Sus scrofa: one gene and its partners. The protein of the gene in region 6 purifies or fractionates together with the protein of the main gene of each other region. This does not show direct contact. Links are inferred from orthologs where the notes say so. Each region holds a gene or a part of one and is shown on either strand. Other genes may lie near its edges.

Region 1 (3,500 bases), on a different chromosome or scaffold from region 6:
GAACAGCAAAAGGACAAATATGGAGATCTTATAAAAGGACTTTAAAATCACAGAATGTAGGGAAGGACAGTAAGAAAATCTAACTTTTTTTTTAAAACGTGTTTGAGCCTATATGACTACCAGGCTAAAGCAAGCAGATAAAGGAAGGGGTTAACATACTTGAAAAACAGGGCAACCACAGATCAATTTCAAACGTTACATTCACAAAAACTAAAAAGAAAAGGACACAAGCATAAAATACAAGGAAATCATCCAACCAAAGAAAGGAAGGAACAAAGGAGAAACACAGAATCAAGTGGAAAACAAGGTTTCAAATGCCAATAAATACATATTTATCAATAATTACCTTAAATGTCAATGGACTGAATGCTCCAATTAAAAGACACAGAGTGGCAGACTGGATAAAAAAGCAAGAGCCTATAATCTGCTGTATACAAGAGACTCACCTTAGGGCAATGGACACACATAAAAGCTCTTAATGTTATTTAATAACTAAAATACCAAGAAAAGATTATCAGGAATGACTGGAACTTCGTTGTTGTTAACAAAAATTAAAATAAGACTTACCATATCTAGCAGTAAATAAACAGATTCTCTATTTCTTGTTGTTGTTTTATCTGTCTCCTGGCCAATTTTCAGTAGACTGGAGGACGCAAGCTTAAAAGTATACATACATTTTAAATAAATAAGTTTTTAAAATAAAGTAAAATGTTCAAAAGTTACTTGTCTATTTTCACTGTGCTTGTAAGACATTTTAACCATTCAGTGGCTACATTTAAGATAATGAGCAATTAAATAACAAGGTGAGCTTAGGTTCTTCACATTCAAGCAAAATTTAAGAGCTATTACGGTATAAACAGACACAAGATAATAAATGTAATTCAATATTCTTATTGGTCTCTAAAATTCATTTTTTTAGAACAAACCTTTTTTTAAAAAAATGATTTTAAATTGATTTTTCTCTTCCCAATATCTGTATGAACTATATTTCTTAATTCTCAAATAAGAAATTTTCAAATTGAGTGTGAGTTAATGGGACCATAGGGAGATTAGGACACTAAATTTTGAATAAAAGAAAAAAAATGAAAAGAAAAAATTTAACTCTTAATACTGTTCCCTTTGAAATAGATGTTATTTTGTCCTAAGTGAGTACTACATTTGCTTTCAAAATTTTAAAAATTTAAAAAGCTAACAGCATTTATAACTTGAAAAGAAGCAAATATTATAGTGTGCTTTATATCACAGTGCAACTTTCTCTTAAGTAATACATAGAAAAAGTACAGTGATAAAGGAAAGAGCTACCCTTCCACAGAAACTAAGAGCCATATTCATGAGGCAACAGTTGGCACTACTACCCTCTCTGGATAGTGAGTAGTAGTCTTCCTTTTGAGTTTGGGACCATTAACAGTCTTTCTCCACATAAATGGAAATTAGTAAAATATATCCTGTTAGTGGGAACATTCACCCTTTGCCTCAATTTTCCTTCGTTTTGTTTTTTTCTCTTTCAAATCCTAGGCAAAATTCTAGGATAGTCCAAACACCAGTTTAGGAAAAAAGGTCATACTGCAGAGCTCTAGAAATGAGAAACTTCTAAGTCAAAAGGAAAAAATACTAAATTAACTGCTCCTTGATTTTATGCCCTGCCTTCATCTGCTCCTTTTTCAAAAATGAATAAGTAAATAAATAAAATTTACTTTGTTATAATCTCATAGTTACGATTTTTAATTTTCTTTAAAAAGCATCATTAGTTTTGCTACTTGATTATACATACCGCCAGAAATTCTTTAAGCCGATCTTCAATGCTTCCTTTGTGAATTGTAAACAAAGCTGCGGCAATCTGGTTGATGGCTTTGGCCAAGCAATGTATGTTGTTGCAGTGCCCTGAGAAAGTGCAAATAGGGTTTTGGTTTCTGTGTGACTCCAAAATATCAAAAACACAAAAAGTAATCTTTAATGACTCCGTAATCTATATGAATAGTGGCATGATTAAATACAGAGTTGGCATAACCTGCCTTGCTTTTCTTTCATTTTTCAAAGAATTACTGCTTTGAAAAATAGTGTAGCAAAAGAGCAAGAAATTTTTTTATTTGTATTGAAGAGGCACATTTTCAAAGACCCCTAAAAGAAATCATTTCTAAATTTTACATTGTTTTAGAAATTTAAAAAATAAATGCTTGGCTGCTTTATGAGCATTTCCTCAATCAATCCTTAACACAATCCTGGGTTAGAAACTCCCTCACCATTCACTGCCACACACAGGCACCCACAGGTTCACATACACATTTCGTATGTGATTATGGAACTGGGGCTTAGAAAAAGAAAATTCGACTATTCAAGGTTATACAGTTAGTAAGTGGCAGAACTTTAACCCACATTTTATTACATAAAAAAATCAATTAATTGAAAAGTAGCTACTATATCAAAACTTGAACTTTTCCAGTGCCAATACAATTTTAAACCACTATTACCTTCTATAGCAGGGCTATACTGAGACATCACATTACTGGCCAGTGTTGGCAAAGAAACTGCCACAAAGACCATGAGGAGGCAGGCAATTTTATATTCTTCTTCTGGACTTATGTTTTCTAAGGGAGAAAAATTAAAAGTATTTCTTTCAAGATTGGTTACAGTTGATTATCTAAATCAGAAAAAGCAAATTTAATTTCTATATAGTTTACAGAGCCTTTATAGAATCTATTACAATTTTGTTACAAGAAATATAGAATAAATAGGCAAAACATTCTCTGACATCAACAGTACAAACGTTTTCTTAGGTCAGTCTCCCAAGGCAACAGAAATAAAAGCAAAAATAAACCAATGGGATCTAATCAGACTGACAAGCTTTTGCACAGCAAAGGAAACCAAAAAAAAAAAAGGACAACCTATGGAATGGGAGAAAATAGTTTCAATGATGCAACTGACAAGGTCTTAATCTCTAAAATATACAAACAACTTATACAACTGCACAGCAAAAAAAACCCCAACAACCCAATTGAAAAATGGGCAAAAGACCAGAATACACATTTCTTCAAAGGAAATATACAGATGGCCAAGAGGCACATGAAAAAATGCTTGATATCACAAATTATTAGAAAAATGCAAAACAAAACTACTATGAGGTACCACCTTACACCTATCAGAATGGCCATCATTAACAAGGCAACAAATAACAAATGCTGGAGAGGGTGTGGAGAAAAGGGTATCCTCCCACACTGTTGGTGGGAATGTAAATTGGTACAACCACTATGGAAAACAGTATGGAAGTGCCTCAGAAAACTAAATGTAGAACTACTATATGACCCAGCATTCCCACTCTTGGGTATATATCCAGACAAAACTTTCCTTGAAAAAGACACATGCACCCGCATGTTCACTGCAGCACTATTCACAATAGCCAAGACATGGAAACAACCTAAATGTCCACTGACAGATGAATGGATTATGTGGAATATATACACAATGGAATACTACCCAGCCATACGAAAGAACAAAATAATGCC
Region 2 (3,500 bases), on a different chromosome or scaffold from region 6:
GCCCCTACCGCTGGGCCCAGCTGTCAGGAGGGCACTCACCGATGAGGTCAGGGATGGTGGGCAGCTCCCCGAGGTCCTCCAGGAGCTCGTGCAGGGGGTCACGGTGATCGGGGGCGATCCAGTCCTGGTGTTCCAGCAACAGCTACAGGATGAGGGGAGAAAAAGAGATGCAGAGTCAGAGCCAGGCCTTCCTTCCAGGGCCGGGCCCCCCACCCTCTCGTGGACTTCCAAAGCCCCGCCCACTTACACAGCACCCCCAGCTTGCGGCGCCTCACCCTGTGTGTGTTGACCAGCTCCCCCACGGTGATGTACACCACGGGTTTGGCCACGGCTACCATGTCCGAGTACTCATCCATCGCAAAGCGCTCTTCTGGCTCTGGCACCTGGCAGGCTCGGCAGATGAACCTCCTGTCTCCAGAGGAAGAGCATGTGAGAGAGGGGGGCGGGCCAGCACCCCCCACGCATACAGCAGCCCTTCCTCCGGCCCTGTCCACTGATGCTCAAGCCACCTGACTCTCCAGTCTGGGCTCCGGCCCCTCTGTCCAGCCCTTCCTTCTCTCCCAGTGTCCCCTTCAAGCAGCCTTCCTTCAATAGTCCTCTTTTTTCTCCACTGGGGAGTTTTTCCAACCAGCTGTCCTCCAGCTCACTAACTATACCCTTCACCTCTATGCCTCTCTTCCTTGTGGATGTAAGCCAAAGTGGTACATGAAAGAAGATGGGAGAAGGAGAAAAGACGGACAGGGAGGGATAGGATGCCAGGACCCAAGACCTGAACTTGAGGTGCGTCTCCTCCAGATAGTCATTCAAGACCCGCAGGTGCTGGCTCTCCCCGGAGAAGGCCTTGCCCGCCGCAGCATGCTGCAGGAGTTGAGCCACAGCCCCCAGGGCGTGGCGCTGCGGGGTGGCCAGGGCGCCACCTGCTGCCATGGCCACAATGTCGAAGGCATCAGGGGCCACTACAGCCGGGTTCAGGAAGCGGTAGTACAGGAGGTTCCCTACCACCTGAGGGCAGAGGAGATCCTAGAAGTGCCTGGGTTCTGCCTCCACGGCCCCAGCCCCACTCTTCCAGCTCACTTGGCTGGAAGGACTGCCTAGGTCAACCCCATCATTGTATAGAAGAGAAAACAAAGCCAGAGTAGGCCAGCAACTTGCTCAAGGTCACACCCTGAACTTGAGCCACAGCTGGGAGTAGAACCCAGATCTGCCAAGTGCAGGTTGGTCTACTGTTAACTCACACCCCGGATGCCTTTCCAGCTGCCATCTGAACCCGGCTGGTGAGCCAGGCTTAAATGACAGGATGGAGAATTTTCCTTCTTGGATTTTTACAGCATGGGGTTTTCTTTCTCTCTCTCTCTTTTCTTTTTTTGTCTTTTTGTCTTTTCTGGGGCCACACTGGCGGCATATGGAGGTTCCCAGGCTAGGGGTCTACTCGGAGCTGCAGCTGCCGGCCTACACCACAGCCACAGCAATGCCAGATCCAAGTCGAGTCTGTGATCTACACCACAGCTCACGGCAATGCCGGATCCTTAACCCATTAAGCACGGCCAGGGATTGAACCTGCAACCTCATGGTTCCTAGTTGGATTTGTTAGCCACTGAGCCACAGCGAGAACTCCAGCATGGGGTATTCTATCCTTTGGTCTCAGAATGCGGGTTCACCGGCACCATCAGGGCAAAGGTGAGCTTGAGAGGTGGGGGATGGAAGACAACACTTGCCTTATAGACCTCACTCTCTGTGGCGTCAGGGAACTTCTCTGCCAGAGTTGTCTTCAGGACCTTGGCCACATAGCGCATCCCATACCTGGGGGCAAAGCGGTAGGAGCACCGTGGCCCTGCCCATCCACACCTGAGGGCCTGCTTCTTCTCTGGGCTGAGCAGCACCAGAGCTGAACTCAAGCACCTCCCCCCCCCCCAATATCCACAGCCTGCTCCTTGCTGCCTTCCTCCAAACACCTCTGGGCCTTGTCTCTCGCTCTTGCCCTTATGTCAATACCTAGGAACAGGGCCCTGTTACCCATTAAACTCTCACTCGGCCTCCAACCTGGCCTGGGAGCCTCTTCTTTGGCCCCCTTTAGTCTCCCCTGGGGAACACCCCAGATCCTAATATCCATCCCATCCTTTCCCACAGAAGGCAGCACCTTTAGCCCGCACCTTAGGTGTCTGATACCCACAGCCAGAACCCCATCCCAGGACAGTCTGGGAGGCCCTGAGGTGGCCAATCTTGTCTGTTTTCACAGAGCATCTGTGAGAGGCCTGGTCTGGGCTAGAGGCAGGGGCCGAGGACAGTAACAAACTGGAGTAGAGGCATCTAGTCCTGACTCTATCACTAATCAGAGATGTCAGCTTAGGCTATTTCGTTCCCGTTATAAGTTTGTTTTCTGGTCCAGAAAAATGGGAATGTTCATTCCTGCCCTATCTCATGAGATTTTTATGAAGATCAAGTGAAATTACTGTCTGTGAAAGTAATGGCACAGTGCTAGTCAAACATGCTAGACTGTATTATTATTCCTATTATGAATGGGCCACCTATTTTTTTTTTTTTTTTTTTTTTTGTCTTTTTGCCTTTTCTAGGGCTGCACCTGCGGCATATGGAGGATCCCAGGTTAGGGGTCTAATCGGAGCTGTAGCCACCGGCCTGCACCACAGCCACAGCAATGTGGGATCCGAGCCTCGTCTGCAACCTATACCACAGCTCACAGCAATGCCGGATCCTTAACCCACTGAGCAAGGCCAGGGATCGAACCCAAAACCTCATGGTTCCTAGTCGGATTCGTTAACCACTGAGCCACGATGGGAACTCCCTTTTTTGTCTTTTTTAAGGGCTACAACATGGCATATGGAGGTTCTCAGGCTAAGGGTCCCATCGGAGCTGTAGCCATCAGCCTACGCCACAGCCACAGCAACGCGGGATCTGAGCCACATCTGTGACCGACACTACAGCTCATGGCAACGCTGGATCCTTAACCCACTGAGTGAGGCCAGAGATTGGACCCACGTCCTCATGGATACCAGTCAGGTTCTTTAACCACTAAGCCACGATAGGAACTCCTGCCACTTACAAATTTAATTAAATACATGTAAAGGCTCTTTCCATTTCCTAGGGTACCAGGACAGAAGTTTACAGTTCACTGTGCACTTCCCTTTATTAGTCCTAGGACAATCTTTTCTGAATCCTAATTGTAAATCCTTGATCTAGTTCTCCAGGTCTAGGGAGCTGGGCTGTGAGCTTTGTGGGTTCCCCTCCAGCACCCTCACCTTGCCCTGAGCACCAGAAAGGAGGGCTGGCTGAATGATGATCTAGATGAGGCCAACCTTGTCAATGTTTTCAATAGTCTGCTTTTCCAAAAATAATTAGTAACTAAATTTTATGAAAGGAGAAGACAAGAAAGTGCTTTACTGGTTTGAAGTTTTCTTATTTTTGACTTTATGGACTGAAGAGTTTTATAGTTTCCACCATTTACACTCAATAATATAGCCTCATGATCACTTGGGGTTCCCTTC
Region 3 (2,973 bases), on a different chromosome or scaffold from region 6:
TGGGGGCGGGGGCGTTGGAATGCGAAGGAGCCTTTTCAGTCTCCGTTGTGAAAACTCTGTTTTCCTTATTAAATTATTTTAATAGAGCCTGGCGTTGAGCTTGTGCATCTGCCACGCAGACTCGCTCCCATCCAGGACACTCCTAGGCCATTTAGGTCGTGTTTGAGGTAGAGGTTTTATGATACCAAAGTGGGCACCTGCCGGCCTGCCTCCTCTTGCCAACCTGGCCTCAGACCTGGACACTTGCTAGAACCCCTCCCACCACCACGGGTGAGCAGGTGGCGGGGAGTCGGTGGTGGTAGTTACTGAAACATTGTTATTTCCAGGATGACTCTAAGAGACAGCAAACTCTGGGGCTTCCCTCCTCTCAAGCGCAGGGCCTGGAGCAGTGCTGGTCTTCAGTGGCTTCATACTGTTGCCAGGTTGGTCTTTCTCCATTTCAGGTCTGCCCCCTCCCCTCCCCTTCCCCTCCCACCATTCCCTAAGCATCAGAAACAGCACATGGTCACTTATTTATTTTTGATACAAATGTACATGACACACATCTTGACAGTCAGCCCACCCACCACCACACAGGTAGAGCCTGGCCCCTGGCACAGAGGTGGGATGGGGAGAGGAGCTGGTGGGCACTGCCATCTGCCTCTCAGCCTTCCCAGGCTGCAGGGACCCACACACTGCAGGTGCTGGCCTCTCAGAGGTTACAGGGAGGGGGCTCTCAGCTGAGTCGGGGACCCCGGGGAGCCAGCCCCAGGCTCAGGTGCTCAGTTCTCTGCCCCAGCCAGCACATTCCCCCTCCACAAGGGGAGGGGAAGAGAGATGGAGAGAAGTGGTTTTCATTTTAAGTTCATAGAGAAAGGGTATGAGTGGGGGAGCAAGGAGGAGAGGCAGAGGGCAACACCCCAGCTGGTTACCCCGGCAGTCCCTGGCCCCAGGGTGGGGGCGGGGGGCAACCCCCAACACCGGTCCTTCCTTCTGCTCTGGGCCCCTCACCCCTCACACAACTCCAGACGAGCCAGGCCTCCGGAACGGCACTGCCGCCCCGCACACTCACACACAGGCACGCAGGGACACTCAGTTACCACGACGTTAAAATTAAGGGGTGGAAGAGAGGAAAGAAAAAAAAAAAAAAGATTTTTCCAGTGTTTTGCTGCTGGGGACCCCGGGATCACAGGTTTGGGGCCTGTGCCCTAGGCTGGGGCCGTTTGGCATTAGAGGAGAGCAGCAGGGGGCTGGTGGCTACAGGATGGGGACATCCACAGGTATTATGTACAAGGGGGATGCCCCCACTCAGCCCCCAATAGGGCTGGACTGGCTCATGGGGGTGGGGTGCATGTAGGGGAACCGCCCCACTTGGAGTGTCCCCACCCAACCCTTTGCTGAGGGTGCCCCAGGGGGCAAGGGGCTGGGAGTGACGCCTTGTAGACCCCTGCACACTAGAGGGGAGGGGATGCTATGTACAGGGAGAGGTGCATGGAATGTGGGGGACAGAAGCTTCTGCCACCTCACCCCCCCATTCTTGGGGGCTCGAGGGGGATGGGCACCAGGGCACCTGGCTGCCAGGGGAGAGTGGCAGCACTAAGGGCACTTGTGCCAGCGGCTCTGTTAGGGTGGGGATTAGTGTCTGGAGTGGCCCAGCTCCCATGGCCAGTGAGGTCCCGGGGTGCGGGTGAGGGTGCAGGGAGAGTGGTCACTGCTTCTTCTCTCGGGTGGTGATGGTGACCAGCTGCTTGGCAGCCTTGGCGATGTCATAGGCGCACTGGATCACCTGCTGAGTCAGCAGCTGGAAGTCCACAGGGGCGCCAGGCTCCGGGGGCACAGTCTTCCGGCACTCGCTCTGCAGCCGGTAGGCGCTGGCGTTGAGCAGCCGCAGCGAGCTGCGCACTGGCTCCAGGGCTGGCCTCTGGAGGGAGGGCAGAGGGAGCGAGGCCTCGGACTCCCACCCACAAGCCAGCGCTACTGGCAGTGTGGCCACGTCTCCACCCAGGTAGCAGTCAGCTTCTCCACCCCCGCCCCACCCAGAGGTGCCCCCCAGTCCTGCTCCCCTCTGGCCCCTGTACCTTTGGGAAGAGAGAAGCCATCTCCGTCACAGCCAGATGGATCTTTTCTGAGCAGGGCACAAAGCTGTGGGGGGCAGACGGTAAATCAGGGAGGCGGGCTCTCGAGAAGGGGTCCAGGGAGAGCGGAGCTCTGGTCCCTCTCAGGCCCTCGGCAACACCCCAGAAGCCCGCACGAGCCTCCGCCCACCTCCGTACCTGTCGTGCTTGAATTCCTGGGCAGCCCGCAGTAACTCCTGAATGTTCTTGGTAACCTGCTCCGTCTTCAGGATGACGTCCTCTGTGCTGGGAAGGCCAGGGTCCAGGTCTCCATCCAGGCTTTCCAGCTCGGGGTGGAAGTCCTCCTCCTTGCCCAGCTCTAGAAACCTCTTCCCTTCCAGGCTGGGGTGAGACAGGCAGCCCGGCCGTGAGGTCGCTTGCCTTCGCCCTCGCAGACACCGGGGGGCCACTCAACCCCCGCCCCCGGGTGCCTCACCCCAGCAGCGGGTCCCCACTCTGTGTGTTCTCATAGTCACTGTCGGCGCCGCTGCCATGGCGAGAAAGCTTGCTCTGGAGGGGACAGGGAAGGGGCGGCAGGTGGGGTGCATGTTCGCAGGTCCCCACAGGCTGCCCGTTGCCTCCCCAGCACACCTCTCAGCCAGCCCAGCCCTCGGGCCCTGGGGATGAGCGTTACCGTGTGGCGGCTTCCTTCCTGGGAGCATGACAGCAGTGGGGAGGAGGGAGTGAAGGGCACAGCTGAGGCCGACACCCCCTTCCGGATCTGAAACCCAGGTAGGGCTGGAGTCAGTCTCCTCCCACCACCCACCTTCCCTGCAGTGAGGCTGGGACCACGTGTGTCTAGTCAGCCCTGTGCCCGGCATCCAGTGCAGAGCCTGGCACCTGCTGGGGCTCAAGACCTGTTTGTGGGAACCGAGCCACC
Region 4 (3,193 bases), on a different chromosome or scaffold from region 6:
AAACTTTAATTTTTTAAATCTGTATTGATTCTTACTCAAGTTTTATTTTCTCTTCAATATTAAAATAACTATTTTTTCCTGTCAATATTTTATAATTTCCAAGAGGTTTTTATGGATCTCAAAGAACATTTATTTCAGAGGTATCTATTACTATTACTAGACAAGAAATAAAAAAAAATTTAGGTAAAGACTTGACATTTTTTCCTATATACATCTTAATCATCCTAATGGTAAAAACTCACATAAAACTTTAAGATACAAGATGATATGAGAATCTCAACATGGAAAGCTGTCACTATAACTACAAGCAGTGTACAAACATGCTTCTATTTTTACCTACATAAGCTGACAGATGTTTAAAATACTGGGTTAACAAAGATCTTTTAGTAAAGTGACTTAGGCAGGCTTAAACTAGCAAGGATTAAGGATGAATCCTTACTAATTAATTGGAAGATCTGAGACATATTTTATATTTCATTTTACAAAATCAGGAATATTTATTTTGAAACAAGAGAAGACATGGTCTACCTGTCAGAAAACTACCACTCAGAAATATTTTTCATCCACAAAGCAGGAAAAACATATAAACACTTAAATTTCACATTGGCACCAAAAAGGTTAACTGCCCTGCCTTCTTGGATTAAAAAAACTAAAGCTGAGCAGTAAGTAGTTTTGCAGGCGTTTGAACATGCCTAAGCCTTTAAATCAGTAAAATACTTTCTAAAAATTCTGATTACAAAAGTAATACATACTTATACAAAATTCAAACAGAACAAAATGAAAAGAGTAGAAAGTGAAAGGCCCCTGTACAGCCCCTCTGGGACCCATGCCCACACCCCCCTCAAAAGAAACCACATTTGGTGCCTATCTTTCCAAATCTTTTCTCTATGTATACAAAACACACATACCTTCATTTGGCTCATTCTATACATAGTGTTTTGCCACTTGGATTTTACACTTAATACACCTTTGATATCTTTCCATGTCAGTACATGTAGGCTAAATGGTATTCTATCATTAAATACCCTTTTAACAATGGCAAAATTATTTTTTAAAATCATTCACCCAAGTACATGACTATAATTTTAAAACAAAATGGACAGACTACTAAAACAGAAACATCTAAAAATAATCTCTATCTTTCTACCAGTGTGGAACAGTTCATTCCTTTTTCACACAAAACAAATTATGTGATTGGGGATATTAATCTCCATGTTTTCACAGAATGCTCCATTTGTTAAGCCTATCTGAAAAGAATGAAAAATTCAGTTGATTAATTCACTAACATTTAGAAAACTAAGTCAGTGTACCACAGATACACACTGCAGTCAGTTTTAATATGATGCTTCTCAGTCTAGGGTTTCAATTAAATAACAGTGAAAAAATAGGACAATAATATAGCTAAAATCCTGAAAAATCCAGAAATTCAAATTTTATACTGCCAACTGTAAACACTGCAGTTTATGTTTTTTCCTACTTGGTAGCAAATGCTAATGAAATTCAATGCTGATTTCTGAAAGTTGGTTCACATCATACATTCAATCAGGGTAATAAGAACATAACACACCTACTGTAGTTAGACTAAGACATAAAAATTTTTTGCTTGAAAGTAATGACTGTGTTGCACATCGGACATTTGTCAATTGCTTCAGCACACTGTTTACAAGTGACCAGATGTCCACAAGGAATAAAAACCACAGCAATATTTCTATCCATACAGATTTTGCAAAGCTTCTCCTCTTGCAGGAGCCTCAGCTGTTCTTCAGCACTAATTTCTGTACAAAGAGAAAAAAAAGTGCTAAATTTTAGGCTTAGTTGTTTAAATTCATTGAAACAATATGAACCCCTACTATGTGTGAGGCACTAATCAAGTGTTGAGAGATAGGATGACTCACATATGGCATCTGCTCTTTATTAGCTTGCATGCTAATGGGAGAGAAGGACATGAGCTAAGGCTATGGAGGTAAGCATAAAAGTGATAAGTGCCATAATAAAGTTACATACAAAGTGCTCTGGGACAAGATGAGAGAATAAGTTCTTCTGTCCAGACTAGGTGGGGAAGGCTTCACAGGTTGGTGGCGATTGGGTGGGGGTGGGGGGGAAAGAAGAGTGGCATTTAAAAATGGGCAGCATGAATTCCTGCTGCAGCATCTCTGCAGAGCCAGGACGCAGGTGCAATCCCCAGCCTGGCACAGGGGGTTAAAGGATCCAGCAATGCTGCAGCTGTGGCATAGGTCACAGCTGTGGCTTGGATCTGATCCCTGGGCTCAGGAACTCCTTATGTGTAGACTTTAGGGCCACTTCTGAAATGGGATAAGCAGGATTTGGTGGCTGACTGGATGTGAGGGATGAGGAAGAAAGAGGAAATAAAGTTGATTACAGGTGGCACCAAAGTATTTGCTTAATTCAGCCTTTCTCAAACTAAGTTTTGTAAAATGTTAACAAATATGCCATAAAAATGTGTTTCACAGCCATACATAACTATAATTACAACATCAACAACAGCAGCAGTTAATATGTACTAGGAACTATTCCCAATGTATTACATATTTTAACAATCTTTGTAATCATTGCATACCAGTGGTTTCCAAATTAAGCCTCAAATGAGAATCACTTGGGGCATTTTTTTAGAACAATAGATTCCTGGGCCCCATTCACAGAATCTAAAATTTCTGGGGTTGAGCACACTGGTATTTGGGCACCACGGCTATCAAGTTCAGGGCAGTGTAATAAAATGTACATCCCCTCTTAGAAATTCATAACGCATTTCCTTATTTAACTACAAAGCTCATTTTTCATGGCATCTCTTCTAACATCCTGGGGGAAATTATTCTGAAAACAAGTTTGGAAAACAGTGGTCTAACTTTATTCAACAAGTACTTACTAGGCATTAGAGATAGAACAATTAACAAATATATAGACCCTTAGGCTCCCAATCATTCATAGCCAAGTAAGGAACACATGTAGATAGGAAATTATAATACAGTGTGATGAGAAAGGTAATTATACAATGTGTTATGAAGAACACAGTAAGGGAGTGTGTGCACACACACATAAAGGGAAGGCTTCCCAGAAAAAAATTATACCTAAACTGGGTCCTAAAGGATGCACAGGAGTAAACTAGGAGAGGGAGAAGGCCCTGGCAGACAGAAGCAGTGGGACAAGAGGGTTCTGGGTAGAGGAAATGTCAAAA
Region 5 (3,258 bases), on a different chromosome or scaffold from region 6:
CTCAACAGAATTTTAGCAGTTGGTAATAAAACTTTTAGATGTACAAAGATAGAGGGAGTATCTGAAAGAAAACACTGATACAGCACATTTCTTTACCATCTTTGTGTATCTTTTTAAAAATTTTATTGGAGTGTAGTTGGCTTACAAAGTTGTGTTAGCTTTAGGTGTACAGAAAAGTAAATCAGTTATGTGTATACATATCCATTCCTTTTCTGATTCTTTTGCCTTATAGGTTATTACAAAATATTGAGTAGATTAGCCTGTGCTATAGAATTGGTCCTTGTTACCGATTTTATATGGAGTAATGTGTATATGTCAATCCCAACCTCCCTTTTTATCCCTCCCCCCCAGCGTTTCCCCTATGGCAACTATAAGTTTGTTTTTGGTTTGTTTTTTTTTTTTTTGCTTTTTAGGGCGGCACCTGTGGCATGTAAGTTCTCAGGCTAGGGGATGAATCAGAGGTACAGCTGCCAGCCTACACCACAGCTACAGCCACTGCCACAGCCACCTAGGATCCGAGCCATGTCTGCAGCCTACACCACAGCTCATGGTAGCGATGGTTCCCCAACCCACTTAGCGAGGCCAGGGATCAAACCCGCAGCCTCACGGATACTAGTTGGATTCGTTTCTGCTACACCACACTGGGAACTCCCATAAATTTGTTTTTGAAATCTTTATGTCTGTTTTGTAAACTCTTTTATATCATGTTTATTAGATTCCACATATTAGTGATCTCATATGATACTTTTATTTCAGTTAGTATGATAATTCCTAGATTACCTTTTCTTTATATATCCCTCTTACCCAGAGTTATGGGGGCCGTGACTGTAAAGAAGTTATCTTTGGGATGCAGATGTGTATTTAAGTTGTGCTTCATTGTACACGGTACTTTGTATCAGGGAGAGGTGCTGTCAAGAGGCCCCCGTTCAGAAAGTGACATTCAATTTAATGGAGTCCTCTTTCATTCCTGAACCTATTGTAAATTCTGGGGAACTTTGGGTTTATAATGTGAATAACTAGTCTAGTCATTACTACTTAAAACAGAAAGCCTTTTAAGTATATAAACTTTAGAGAGGAGAATACCCTATTTATTAATTCTGTTTCTTCTGATAGGAGGGGGTCCGCATGGAAGAAATAGTTGAAGGTTGTACTGGAGCCCTTCATATCCTAGCTCGGGATGTTCACAACCGAATTGTTATCAGAGGACTAAATACCATTCCATTGTTTGTGCAGGTATGTTGGTTTTAAGTGAGACATTCTAGGTTTTATATGTCAATCAAATTTCAGGATTTTAAAGATAAACAAAATTTCATGAAATTAGGGACCAAAATAGGGGCACCAGCATTTAATTTTTCATTTACTAAAATGGCAATACTGTCCATGAATCTCAATGTATAATGTCTTTTTAGTTGAATATATTTAATTTTACAAAAATTCCCTTTATTCGTCTTGGGCAGTAGAAGGAGAATCACTGAATGTCAAGAAGAGGGAGGAGATAACTCTCTGCTTTGAGAGGTGCTCAGTTTTGAAGGAGTGAAAGCTGATCTGGCTGCTAGAGCACAGGCCTCCAACCACCTCTGGAGTTTCCAAATCGTAGCTTAAATAAAATTGTCTCTTAAGAAAAGGTTTGCTGCTAAAAACACTCCAGAAAACCAGTCCTCCAGAGCATCAAACATTCAAGAACATATATTTAGAGTATATGATTTAATGTAAGTAGTACAAATACTGCCTGCAGTCTGAATTGGGAATGTTTGCACCACAGTGGGGTGCCTGCCTTGTTTCTACTTTAGGTTTCTACTTTTGGTAGTCTTTTTTCTCTTATATTCTTTTCAATTATGGTTTATCATAGACCACTGAATATAGTTCTCTGTGCTATACAGTAGAATCTTGTTCAACTTTATATTTAATTAGGGGTTTGTGTGTGTGTGTGTGTTTTCTCCTTAGCTGCTTTATTCTCCCATCGAAAATATCCAAAGAGTAGCTGCAGGGGTCCTCTGTGAACTTGCTCAGGACAAGGAGGCTGCAGAAGCTATTGAAGCTGAGGGAGCCACAGCACCTCTGACAGAATTACTCCACTCTAGGAATGAAGGTGTGGGTAAGTAGGAAAGGAACCAAAGCCTTTGGCTGGTGTGTATGGTGAAGCCTCAGCTTTTCCTCAAAGACCTTTTTTCCCATCCTCTCCCAGCAACATACGCAGCTGCTGTTTTGTTCCGAATGTCTGAGGACAAGCCCCAGGATTATAAGAAACGGCTTTCGGTTGAGCTGACCAGTTCTCTTTTCAGAACAGAGCCAATGGCTTGGAATGAGGTAGGCACATTTATTTGGGTGTTTGTCAGAGCGGGTAAGGCAGTTTGTGGTTTCTTCTCTACTCAGTCCACATTCATTTGCATTGACTGCATCCTTGGCTTAAATATTCCTTCTTTTACACTACCTTATCAACTGCTGTGAGGGAAAATTAACAGCTTTAAACAGCCTGTTCAGAACAAACCAGCTACACAGTTTAACAGTAGAATTTGTAAGGGAGATAGATGAAAAAGTTACCAGATTAAAAAACATTTTTCAGGAGTTCCTGTTATGGCTCAGTGGTTAACGAATCTGACTAGGAACCATGAGTTGCGGGTTCAATCCCTGGCCTTGCTCAGTGGGTTAAGGATCCAGCATTGCCGTGAGCTGTGGTGTAGGTCGCAGATGCGGCTCGGATCTGGCGTTGCTGTGACTCTGGCGTAGGCTGGCAGCTATAGCTCCGATTGGACCCCTAGCCTGGGAACCTCCATATGCCACAGGAGCGGCCCTAGGAAAGACACACAGATGCACACACACAAAAGAACATTTTTCAAAAGGCTGTTAGGAAAGAAGTAATCATTAAACACTGTTAGGTGGAGGTCACTTTATCAATACTTCTTAAAAAATGCTCAACTTTTCACCTATTTTCTACTCAAATTTCTATTAATTTATTCAGTATTTGTCCTCAGTACAGACTTGTTCACTGAAACATTAGAACCATCCTGAAGGTTTATTCAACTATGGTATATAGGCATAAAGTGAATTATATTTGTTGAATGAATATAGAGAGACCCTACATATGTTGTTAGGTGGGAAAAAAATAAACTGCCAAACTGTAGTATGTTAGTTGGTTTTTTAATAGGCAATCCTAACATGTTCCAACTTGAGCCCTAAACTTCTCACCTACTCCCTTTCTCCAGACCTGTTCCTGTAACAGTTAATGGCAGCTTCATTCTTCTAGCTGCTCAAGCTCTA
Region 6 (3,958 bases):
TAAATTAACCTCCGTATCTTGTCAAAATACTGTCTTCATCCTTCGATCACAGGCGCTCCCCACGCTCCACCCCGCGCACCCACGGCCAGAACACCTCGCCGGAGGGAACACGTGAGCAGGAGTTCAGTTCAAGGCTCACGAAAGCTAGTACACTCATCGCTTAAAGAAACCCTCACTACGCAATCAGAGCTTGATGCAGAGAGCTGCGCTGTCACCTCCTCGCCAGGACGCACAGTACAACGTCAGGTCATGGGCACGGGCGGATAGACGAGGGTGCGCTCCGTGGCGACGTTTCGCGAAGGAGGCGCTACGCCCGCCCTTCACGGTGGAAAGCCGCCGGCCTCGGAAGGGACGGTCTCGCAGGGAGAGAGGTCTCTGTCAACAGCTTAGTGCTTAGTGTTCTCAGCCCAACAACGCAACTTGGCTCACAAGGGATTTTGGCAACTCTTCATCTGAGCAAGAACAGGGGCTTCTGAAAAATAAGGCTTTAGGAAAGCTTGTCATTTTAGGGCTAAACTTTAATAGAATGTGAAAGTTTAAACTCTTACACTTTAAACAGAGAAAAACCTAGAAATTACTGATTGGTTCAAAACGGTTTTATGGAAAAACTAATCTGTAACAAAAACTTGGCATTGAGTGCGAAGGCTCCACATTTGAGCAAAGCAGACAAAGGTTCGGGGCGGGACGGGCCCCCGCCCCGGGCCCCAGGCGTTTACAACAGCAGGCACTTCCTCTTCCTCTTCTTGACGGGGGGCGGGCAGAGAACCGCTCGGATGGCTTCGTCGAACACTGTCTTGAGGCCCCGCTGCGTGAGCGCCGAGCACTCCAGGTATTTCACAGCACCTGCCGGACGGAACACGGCCTCTCAGCCTCGGCCTCGCCCCCCCATCCCACCCCCCGGCTCAGCCGGGTCTCTGCAGGGGCGGCCAGACCCGGGTCCACCTCCCCGGGCGGGACTCCGGCCTCTGGCGGGCCAAGCAGACCTGGCGCCGCGGGGTTTCCTACCGATCTCCTTCGCCATGGCCAAGCCCTGCGGGTAGGTGATGGGAGTCAGCTTCTTCTCCTTCAGTTTCTCGATCGTGTCTTTATCATCCCTGAGATCAAGCTTCGTCCCCACCAGGATGATGGGCGTGTTGGGACAATGGTGTCGCACTTCTGGGTACCACTAGGCGCGGGGACAGGAGCAAAGTCACGACTCTGGTGGGAGCCGCCCTCCCGCCGATTACGGCCACACCGGTGCCAAGCTGTGTCAATCCCGAGTCCCTGCGTCGCCACGGAGCCTTCCTGCAGGGGACAGCACGCTGCCCTCGGCCAGGCTCCCCTCCAGAACCACCAACCACTGCACCGTGGGACCGGCGAGGCAGCCCCCCGCCCGCCACTCTGTTTTTGGTTTCTGGTCAAGTTCTTAGGTCATTTCAAAACCCCTCACACATTCGAGGATGAGAACCAAACTAGCAGGACTCAGGACTCAGCTCTACCGTCTCCTCCCCGCCAGACGCATCCCTGACCCACCGCCGTCATCTCCACCAAGCCCACCGGTGCCGCCAGTCCGTCATTTTTATTCACCTGGCTCCCAACTGCCTCGTTATTTTAACAAGGAACCCAGCACTTCTGCATCGGCCCTGAAACTTGAGAACTCTGCATACTAAAGTCACCTTGCTGGAGTTCCCGTCGTGGCGCAGTGGAAACGAATCCGACTAGGAACCATGAGGTTGCGGGTTCCATCCTGGCCTTGCTCAGCGGGTTAATGATACGGCGTTACCGTGAGCTGTGGTGGAGGCTGCAGATGCGGCTCGGTTCCCGCATTGCTGTGGCTGTGGTGTAGGCCAGAGGCTACAGCTCCAATTGGACCCCTAGCCTGGGAACCCTCCATATGCCAAGGGTGCAGCCTTAGAAAAAACAAAAAGACGAAAAAATAAAAAATAAAAATAAAATATCCCACTTACCTTTGCGCGAACATTTTCAAAAGATGCAGGGCTCACAAGAGAAAAGCAAATTAAGAATACGTCCTGTAAAAAGAAACACAGGGAGGCGTTTAGAGAATGGTCTTGGCGTGGCGAAGTCACTTTGCTTCCTAAATGCTGCGGGGAAAGCGCCAGAAGCCCCGGCTCGTCCTGCGCACCAGCAGCTGAGGCGCGAGCCGGCTCCCTGCACCCTCTCTGGTCGAGACGCTCCCAGACCAGAACCAGCACGTGAAGCACAAGTTACTGGTGAGACTGGGAGTGGAGCACAAGACACGCTCTGTTACTGGAGGCCACAGACAGACAGGCCTCTTTCCATCACTCCAGCTCTGCCTGGGAGCTTAATGCTGTTCCTGCCTGGGGACAAAATCCTGTGTCAAGGTGCTACGCCTGCATTTCTTTAAAACCTGGTCTCGGTTCCTCAAAAGTAGAATCCATTTCAAAAACATCATCTACAACGCTACGTTTCTCATTACGTCCCCATCAGAACATTAGGTCCAAACACTTCTAGGGGCTCACGCGGCTCCAACTACACTGCTTTTAGGAAGGACCGGCCGTCAGGGCCCTGGGCCCAAGGTGGGTCTCAGGTCCTCGCTCACCCGCTGGCCCTCGGGAGGGAGGACGGCCTCGTGTGAAAGCGGCGTCTCGCCGGCTGTCAGGGCTTCTCAGGCCCAAGCAGGGCCTCTGGAGAACATGCACTTTATTGTGCAAAAGGTGAGATTTAAACGTTTACACATCCTTTTTAAAAAAAAAAAATAAGCCAAAGTTTCTAAAATGCTAGGTTTATGAACTATTTTCCTGGAAAAGGGCAATGACACTCCTTTGTGAAGTGCACACACTTTCAATCCTCAGCTGACACCCTGTACCTGGAAGGGAGCGACCTCCCACACGACAGCGTTTTGTAAATGACATGAAATTTGAGCGCATGCACAAGGTTGCCCAGGAACCACCACGGCCTCTGGCCCTGGGCTGATCACGCCTCCAAGCGGGGCCGGTGAGCTCAGCAGCGCACAGCCCGCCCGCCGGACAGGCCCGCACCCAACACCGAAGCGGGGGAAGGGCCGCCAGGGTGGTTAGTCCCGCTCCCGCCAAGCCCGTGGCCGGGGCGCCAGGGTGAAGCCTCGCGTCTCCCCAGCAGCCTGGAGAGGGCCCCTTCCACCAAAGCCCCCGTGCCCTGAGAGGAGGGGAGAAAGCAGCTTGGGAACGGCTCTGATTCAGGCCAGCAGGTCGACCATGGGCTCCAGTGAAAGCACGTTTCATCGAGCCGACCTCAACCTTGAGTGAATCAGAGGTCAAACACTCAAGGACCGGGAGGCTCGACGGGAAATCCTAGGAAAACTAAGTGAAACGAGAGAACAGATCAAGCTGGAAACTGAAGTCGATTGAAAGTTTTACATACGGCAAGCGCTTGTCTTTGCCCCTGGAGGGTCTATCCTTACCATACGTTTCTCCAACCTAGTAATGCACGAGAACTTGGTTTGAGGTTAGTAAAAACTGAGAACAGTCAACATAACCCGTTACTCATTCTTCATCTGGGCGGTGTCTCAACCCTCCCAGGGAGCAAGCGGATGACGATCCAGCAGGTCTACGCCACCCAGGGTCACTGAATCCCTCCGTCACCCTGGCCACGGGGCACGAGGGGCCCTGTGAAGGTCACTGGTGGTGGGGGCACCGGTCGGGCAAGTCCTGGGGAGCAGACGGAGCTCCTTCCTCCCTCAGCCGCCGCAGACGGCTCCTCTCCCGGCAGAATGACAAGGTGCCCTCGAAGGCGGCGGAGGACATGGGAGAGGCAGCCGGCACGGAGCCAAGCTCTCCCGCTAAGCTCGCGGACACGAGGCCCGGAGGCCAAGAGCAAAGGGGCCCATCCACACAGCGGGGCCTGTGGGACGGGGCTGCCCAGGAAGGCGGCCAGGCCAGAGCTGTGACCGTGAGCCTCCGGGGCAGCAAGGCCGGGGCCTGGCCTGAATGTGCCACCGCACCAAGACCCGCAGCACCCC
Region 7 (4,017 bases), on a different chromosome or scaffold from region 6:
AATAGAAAGAGGATCTGACCAGGGGCTTGGGATGGACAGTGGGCTCAGGGGACCAGCTTCTCCTCACCCTCCAGCTGGTCCTTGTTAAACTCGATCTGTGGAAGAAAAGAGCAGGTGAGGAGGGATGACAGGGCTTATTCAATCTCTCTCCAGCACTCCTCCCGACCAACTGGCAACCACTTCTGGGGAGGGGCCCAAAGGGACCAGGCTGGGAGCCCAGCCACCTCAGTCCCATTCCCAGCTCCAGACCTTGGGAGAATCCCAAGAGGAGGAATTATTGGGGGGAGGGTTTCCTGGGAACAGGGTTAATCCCATGCCACCTGTTCCCCTCCCTCTACTGCCCTGAGCCCTGCATCCCTCACATAACTGGGGGCTGAACAAAGGCTAAATTTACCCCTGGCCCCCAGCTGTGATTGTCTAACAAGTCTGTCCTCTTCAGCCTTCCTTCCTGGGGTTCAGAGCTGTGGCCTTTCGTGTTGAACAGTCAGCCAGGGGCCGGCAGCAGCTCCCTCCCTTCACCTTGAAACTGTCCTCAGAACCCAGATGTTCCCCATCTCACAGTCCCTGCCTCCAGCAGGAGGGTCAGTGAGAATGTGTGTGTATATACGTACACAGAACGTGTTATAGATTAGAGGAAGAGCTCAACAAAGACAATAGCAGAGTCATGACCCTGAATCCTTCCAAATAGGGGACGAAGGGAAACCCCCGCTATCATCCAGTGCTTACTGATTCCCTACCTTCTAGATACCCCCTAGTCCTCTAGGCTGAATCCCACCCTTTACCACTCCCTCCAAATTCTTTTCTCACTTTCCAGGGACTCACCACCACTTTGGAGAGATCGACGGGGGGCTCCTGGATCTTCGCAGAGGCTGAAGGGACAGCTGGTGCTGGTGCTGGTGCTGGTGCTGGCGCTGACGCTGACGCTGGTGGTGGCTTGGCTGGAGGGGCCCCTGCTGCTGGCTTGGCAGCAGGCGCAGCAGGCTTGGGGTTAGGGGGCCCCACTGGTTTCTTCACGGGAACGGGAACATCCTTCTTGGGAGGCATGATGTCCGGTGGCCAAAGGACAGTGTGCCGATGGGGGCACCCATCTCTGTTTAAATAGCCAGGGAGTCTGGGATGTCAAGGGGCGGGGGCAGGGGCAGGGAGCCAGTTGGCGATGGGGAGGGTGAGATAGAGGAGAGATATGCTGGCCTGCCCTCACTCCCCTGGCCTCCTATGGTTCAGGACTCCTGCCCCAAGGTCTTCTCCCTTCTGTCCACCTGGCCCCAAATGCTGACCAGAACAATGGCCCCTTTGGGGGCAGGGGGAGGAAGCCAGAGACTGCCCAGAATGGGGGAGTTAACCTCCGGGGTGAGGATAGGATGCTTGCCAGTGACAAACAGTAAAATAGGGGTGAGGCAAAGAAGGAGATCCAGGCATTCAATGCCCTCAACCCTCTGACTCAGAAGAGCCCTTTTTCCTAGCAGCTTTAGACTCTTGAAGGCTGAAGCAGGGATGGGGGCCTTGTGAACTGTGATTGTTAAAGTGGGGTCTGGGAGTAGTGAAAGGTGAAAAAAACAAGCAGACTCTCTGCTCCTCTCTGACCATGGATGAGAAGCAGGGATAGTGGATCCCACAGCTTCATAATCCTGAATACTGTAATTCTCTAACCCTCTTCCTGCCAGCCCAGAACTGGAACTGTGTACAAAATAGAGACAGAATAGTAAGAGAAGAGTGTGACCTCCCCCTCCGATTGTTCCTGTACCCAGTGTTAAACGTTTAAGGAGCGGGGATGCGGGCAAGGACAGTTTAACACCCACCATCCATACTCCCAAGGAAGGAACACTTGTCCACAAACCTATGGTCATTCAGGTCAGACACAAGTAGGGTGTCTGAACCTGCAGGGGCTCCTTGCACCTGGGGGGAAGGGCAGGCTCTGAGAGGCAAAGGGCTTAATTTCTAAAATCTCTAATCCAAAAGGACGTGGGAGGCCCTTTGGCCTCCATGAGTACTCATTCCCAACCAGAGGGATAATAAAACCTCCAGACTAGGTTGCCAGATTACAAACCTTGCTGGGAGCGCTGGGGTAGAGTCGAAGTCCGGGCATATGGGGTGGGGGGGGGGGCGTCACTGGCTAGTTTTGTTCTGGGGTTAAAGAAAGAGACGATTTAAACAGCATTCCGAGGAAGATAAGAGTGATCCCACTTAGGTCCTGGGGTTCAGAGAGTTGATGCTGGGTCTCCCACTCCAAAAAAGTCTCTGAATCTCATTACTGCCAATTGCCTCATTTTAGGAAAATAAGCACATCACTCTCTCTCTCTCTCTCTCTCTCTCTCACACACACACACCACACACACACACACTCACATACACACACCCTAAATATTAAATAAAGGAAAGAGTCCCTCCCCAAAGCCCCAAAAACTCACCCTGAGGGGTCCAGGTAAGAGGAGGAGGCGGGGCGAAGGGCAGCCGCAGTCCCTGAAGGGTTAATTTCGCCAGCCACCGAGCATGCCGGGAATCGTAGTCCTCGCGCGCGCCCGGAGGCTCACGGGAAACTCCGCTTAACTACGTAAGGGGGGCGGTGTTAGTGCGGTGGCTTCCGGCCCGAAGCGGCGGTTGGTGACTCAGTATGTTTGGGGCGCGTTTCTTATCCCGGAAAAAGTACTTTTCACTGACTCTCAAAACGTGCGCGGCCCTTCAGAATATCTCCCTTGTTTGGCCCTGAGTTCACTGTTTAGTGTGGGCGGAGCTGTTTTCCTGAGTTCGCTGTGAGAACGCGGAAGCAGCGGAAGGGTTGTAGCTGCCCCAGGCTCAGATAGAAGGTCAGGTAGCTCAGGAAGCACTTAACGGCCCCGGGCCGAGTGGTTAGGTCAGTTTAGCTTCCTGTTGCAGTTCGGTAGAAAATAGAGGCCATTGAGTGGCTGTATGACTTGGAACAGTAAAGTTGTTTGTTTGAAGTGAACTGGTAGTTGAAGTAAACGTTAAAATTTGGAATTAAGCCGGCTAACCTGCCGCAGTCCGAGTTGAAGTTTCTCCATTCTGCGGCCGCGTATGCATCAGGCACCCTTTCTGTTCTTCACAGGTCTCTTTGGAGTGGAGGCCTGCGTTCTCCAGCTCTTGACTCTGAGACATCTCTGCCCAGCATTGGACATCTCTTTCCCGTGGATGGCTGGTTGTTTTTTAGATTTTTTTTTTTTTTAATGGTCGCACCTGTGGCACATTGAAGTTCCCAGGCGAGGGGGGGGGGTCCAATTGGACCTACAGCTGAGGCCTGTTCCACAGCCAGGGCAACAGGGATCCGAGCTGCATCTGCTACCTACATCACCTGTGGCAAAACTGGATCCTTAACTCACTGAGTGAGCCCAGAGATTGAACCTGCCTCCTCACAGAGGTAGCGTCGTGTCCTTAACCTGCTGAGCCACAGAGGGAACTCCTTGTTTGTGTTTAATTGAGGTATGGTTGGTACAGAATATTCTGTTTCAGGTAGGTTGTATGTACTCCATTAATAGTTATAAATATTGGTTATATTCTCTGTGTTGTACATCCCCCAAGATGCTTTTGAAAGGTCTCCTTTGGGCTGGTAAGGAACCAGCCCAGCCCCACTGATCTACTACTAGATGGAAGAGTAAATGCCCTGAAGGTGCATACCATGCTGGAGATTGGGGCTTGCACGGGCTTGCTTGCAGGCAGTGGGTGGGAGTAGAAAGCCCACAAGAGGTCAGAAGAGTGAGGCATAAATGAACTTAATGGGCAGTGCAGAATTGATGTTGGCTGGTTGGGGAAGGCTTTTTGGAAGAGTAGAAATGGATTGTATAATAAAAACAATAACCGATGAGGAGGTGGAGGGTGTTAGCAACCATTTCTGAAGGTCTCCACAGAGCAGGTACTGCATGAACCATAGAGGGTGCTAAAGAGTGTGGATTCAGACTAGCCTGCTTAAATGTGATGTTTTATTTGCTATTGTTTTGAGTTCTTTTTCAGGCTACTTAATTTTTGTTTGTTTGTTTGTTTTGTTTTTTTTCTAGGCCACATCTG

Evidence for each region.
Region 1: the proteins of RAC1 (region 6) and NCKAP1 purify together in Homo sapiens (pull-down; 4 studies listed by BioGRID and IntAct, with this or other methods). This does not show direct contact. The link is inferred for Sus scrofa from reciprocal best matches to the Homo sapiens genes RAC1 and NCKAP1.
Region 2: the proteins of RAC1 (region 6) and IQGAP3 purify together in Homo sapiens (affinity purification with mass spectrometry; 3 studies listed by BioGRID and IntAct, with this or other methods). This does not show direct contact. The link is inferred for Sus scrofa from reciprocal best matches to the Homo sapiens genes RAC1 and IQGAP3.
Region 3: the proteins of RAC1 (region 6) and GIT1 purify together in Homo sapiens (affinity purification with mass spectrometry; 3 studies listed by BioGRID). This does not show direct contact. The link is inferred for Sus scrofa from reciprocal best matches to the Homo sapiens genes RAC1 and GIT1.
Region 4: the proteins of RAC1 (region 6) and XIAP purify together in Homo sapiens (affinity purification with western blotting; 3 studies listed by BioGRID and IntAct, with this or other methods). This does not show direct contact. The link is inferred for Sus scrofa from reciprocal best matches to the Homo sapiens genes RAC1 and XIAP.
Region 5: the proteins of RAC1 (region 6) and CTNNB1 purify together in Homo sapiens (affinity purification with western blotting; 4 studies listed by BioGRID, with this or other methods). This does not show direct contact. The link is inferred for Sus scrofa from reciprocal best matches to the Homo sapiens genes RAC1 and CTNNB1.
Region 7: the proteins of RAC1 (region 6) and MYL6B purify together in Homo sapiens (affinity purification with mass spectrometry; 3 studies listed by BioGRID and IntAct, with this or other methods). This does not show direct contact. The link is inferred for Sus scrofa from reciprocal best matches to the Homo sapiens genes RAC1 and MYL6B.

The regions. Positions count from the first base shown.
Region 1 is NC_010457.5:88,430,750-88,434,249, forward strand, and holds part of NCKAP1 (nck-associated protein 1), read right to left. Parts: intron 2,586-3,500; coding exon 2,469-2,585; intron 1,882-2,468; coding exon 1,772-1,881; intron 658-1,771; coding exon 568-657; intron 1-567. UniProt on the Homo sapiens protein: Part of the WAVE complex that regulates lamellipodia formation. The WAVE complex regulates actin filament reorganization via its interaction with the Arp2/3 complex. Actin remodeling activity is regulated by RAC1.
Region 2 is NC_010446.5:93,546,733-93,550,232, reverse strand, and holds part of IQGAP3 (ras GTPase-activating-like protein IQGAP3), read right to left. Parts: intron 1,801-3,500; coding exon 1,716-1,800; intron 1,003-1,715; coding exon 770-1,002; intron 409-769; coding exon 276-408; intron 143-275; coding exon 40-142; intron 1-39.
Region 3 is NC_010454.4:45,767,672-45,770,644, forward strand, and holds the end of GIT1 (ARF GTPase-activating protein GIT1), read right to left. Parts: intron 2,815-2,973; coding exon 2,728-2,814; intron 2,604-2,727; coding exon 2,530-2,603; intron 2,436-2,529; coding exon 2,253-2,435; intron 2,122-2,252; coding exon 2,058-2,121; intron 1,901-2,057; coding exon 1,688-1,900; 3' UTR 501-1,687; downstream 1-500. UniProt on the Homo sapiens protein: GTPase-activating protein for ADP ribosylation factor family members, including ARF1.
Region 4 is NC_010461.5:101,434,369-101,437,561, reverse strand, and holds the end of XIAP (E3 ubiquitin-protein ligase XIAP), read right to left. Parts: intron 1,776-3,193; coding exon 1,582-1,775; 3' UTR 501-1,581; downstream 1-500.
Region 5 is NC_010455.5:25,202,295-25,205,552, forward strand, and holds part of CTNNB1 (catenin beta-1), read left to right. Parts: intron 1-1,113; coding exon 1,114-1,233; intron 1,234-1,944; coding exon 1,945-2,095; intron 2,096-2,185; coding exon 2,186-2,307; intron 2,308-3,258. UniProt on the Homo sapiens protein: Key downstream component of the canonical Wnt signaling pathway.
Region 6 is NC_010445.4:4,782,553-4,786,510, forward strand, and holds the end of RAC1 (ras-related C3 botulinum toxin substrate 3), read right to left. Parts: intron 3,417-3,958; coding exon of another isoform or gene 3,357-3,416; intron 2,010-3,356; coding exon 1,947-2,009; intron 1,166-1,946; coding exon 1,006-1,165; intron 844-1,005; coding exon 713-843; 3' UTR 501-712; downstream 1-500. UniProt on the Homo sapiens protein: Plasma membrane-associated small GTPase which cycles between active GTP-bound and inactive GDP-bound states.
Region 7 is NC_010447.5:21,553,134-21,557,150, reverse strand, and holds the start of MYL6B (myosin light chain 6B), read right to left. Parts: upstream 2,801-4,017; 5' UTR 2,409-2,800; intron 2,075-2,408; exon of another isoform or gene 2,048-2,074; intron 1,091-2,047; 5' UTR 1,045-1,090; coding exon 823-1,044; intron 96-822; coding exon 68-95; intron 1-67. UniProt on the Homo sapiens protein: Regulatory light chain of myosin. Does not bind calcium.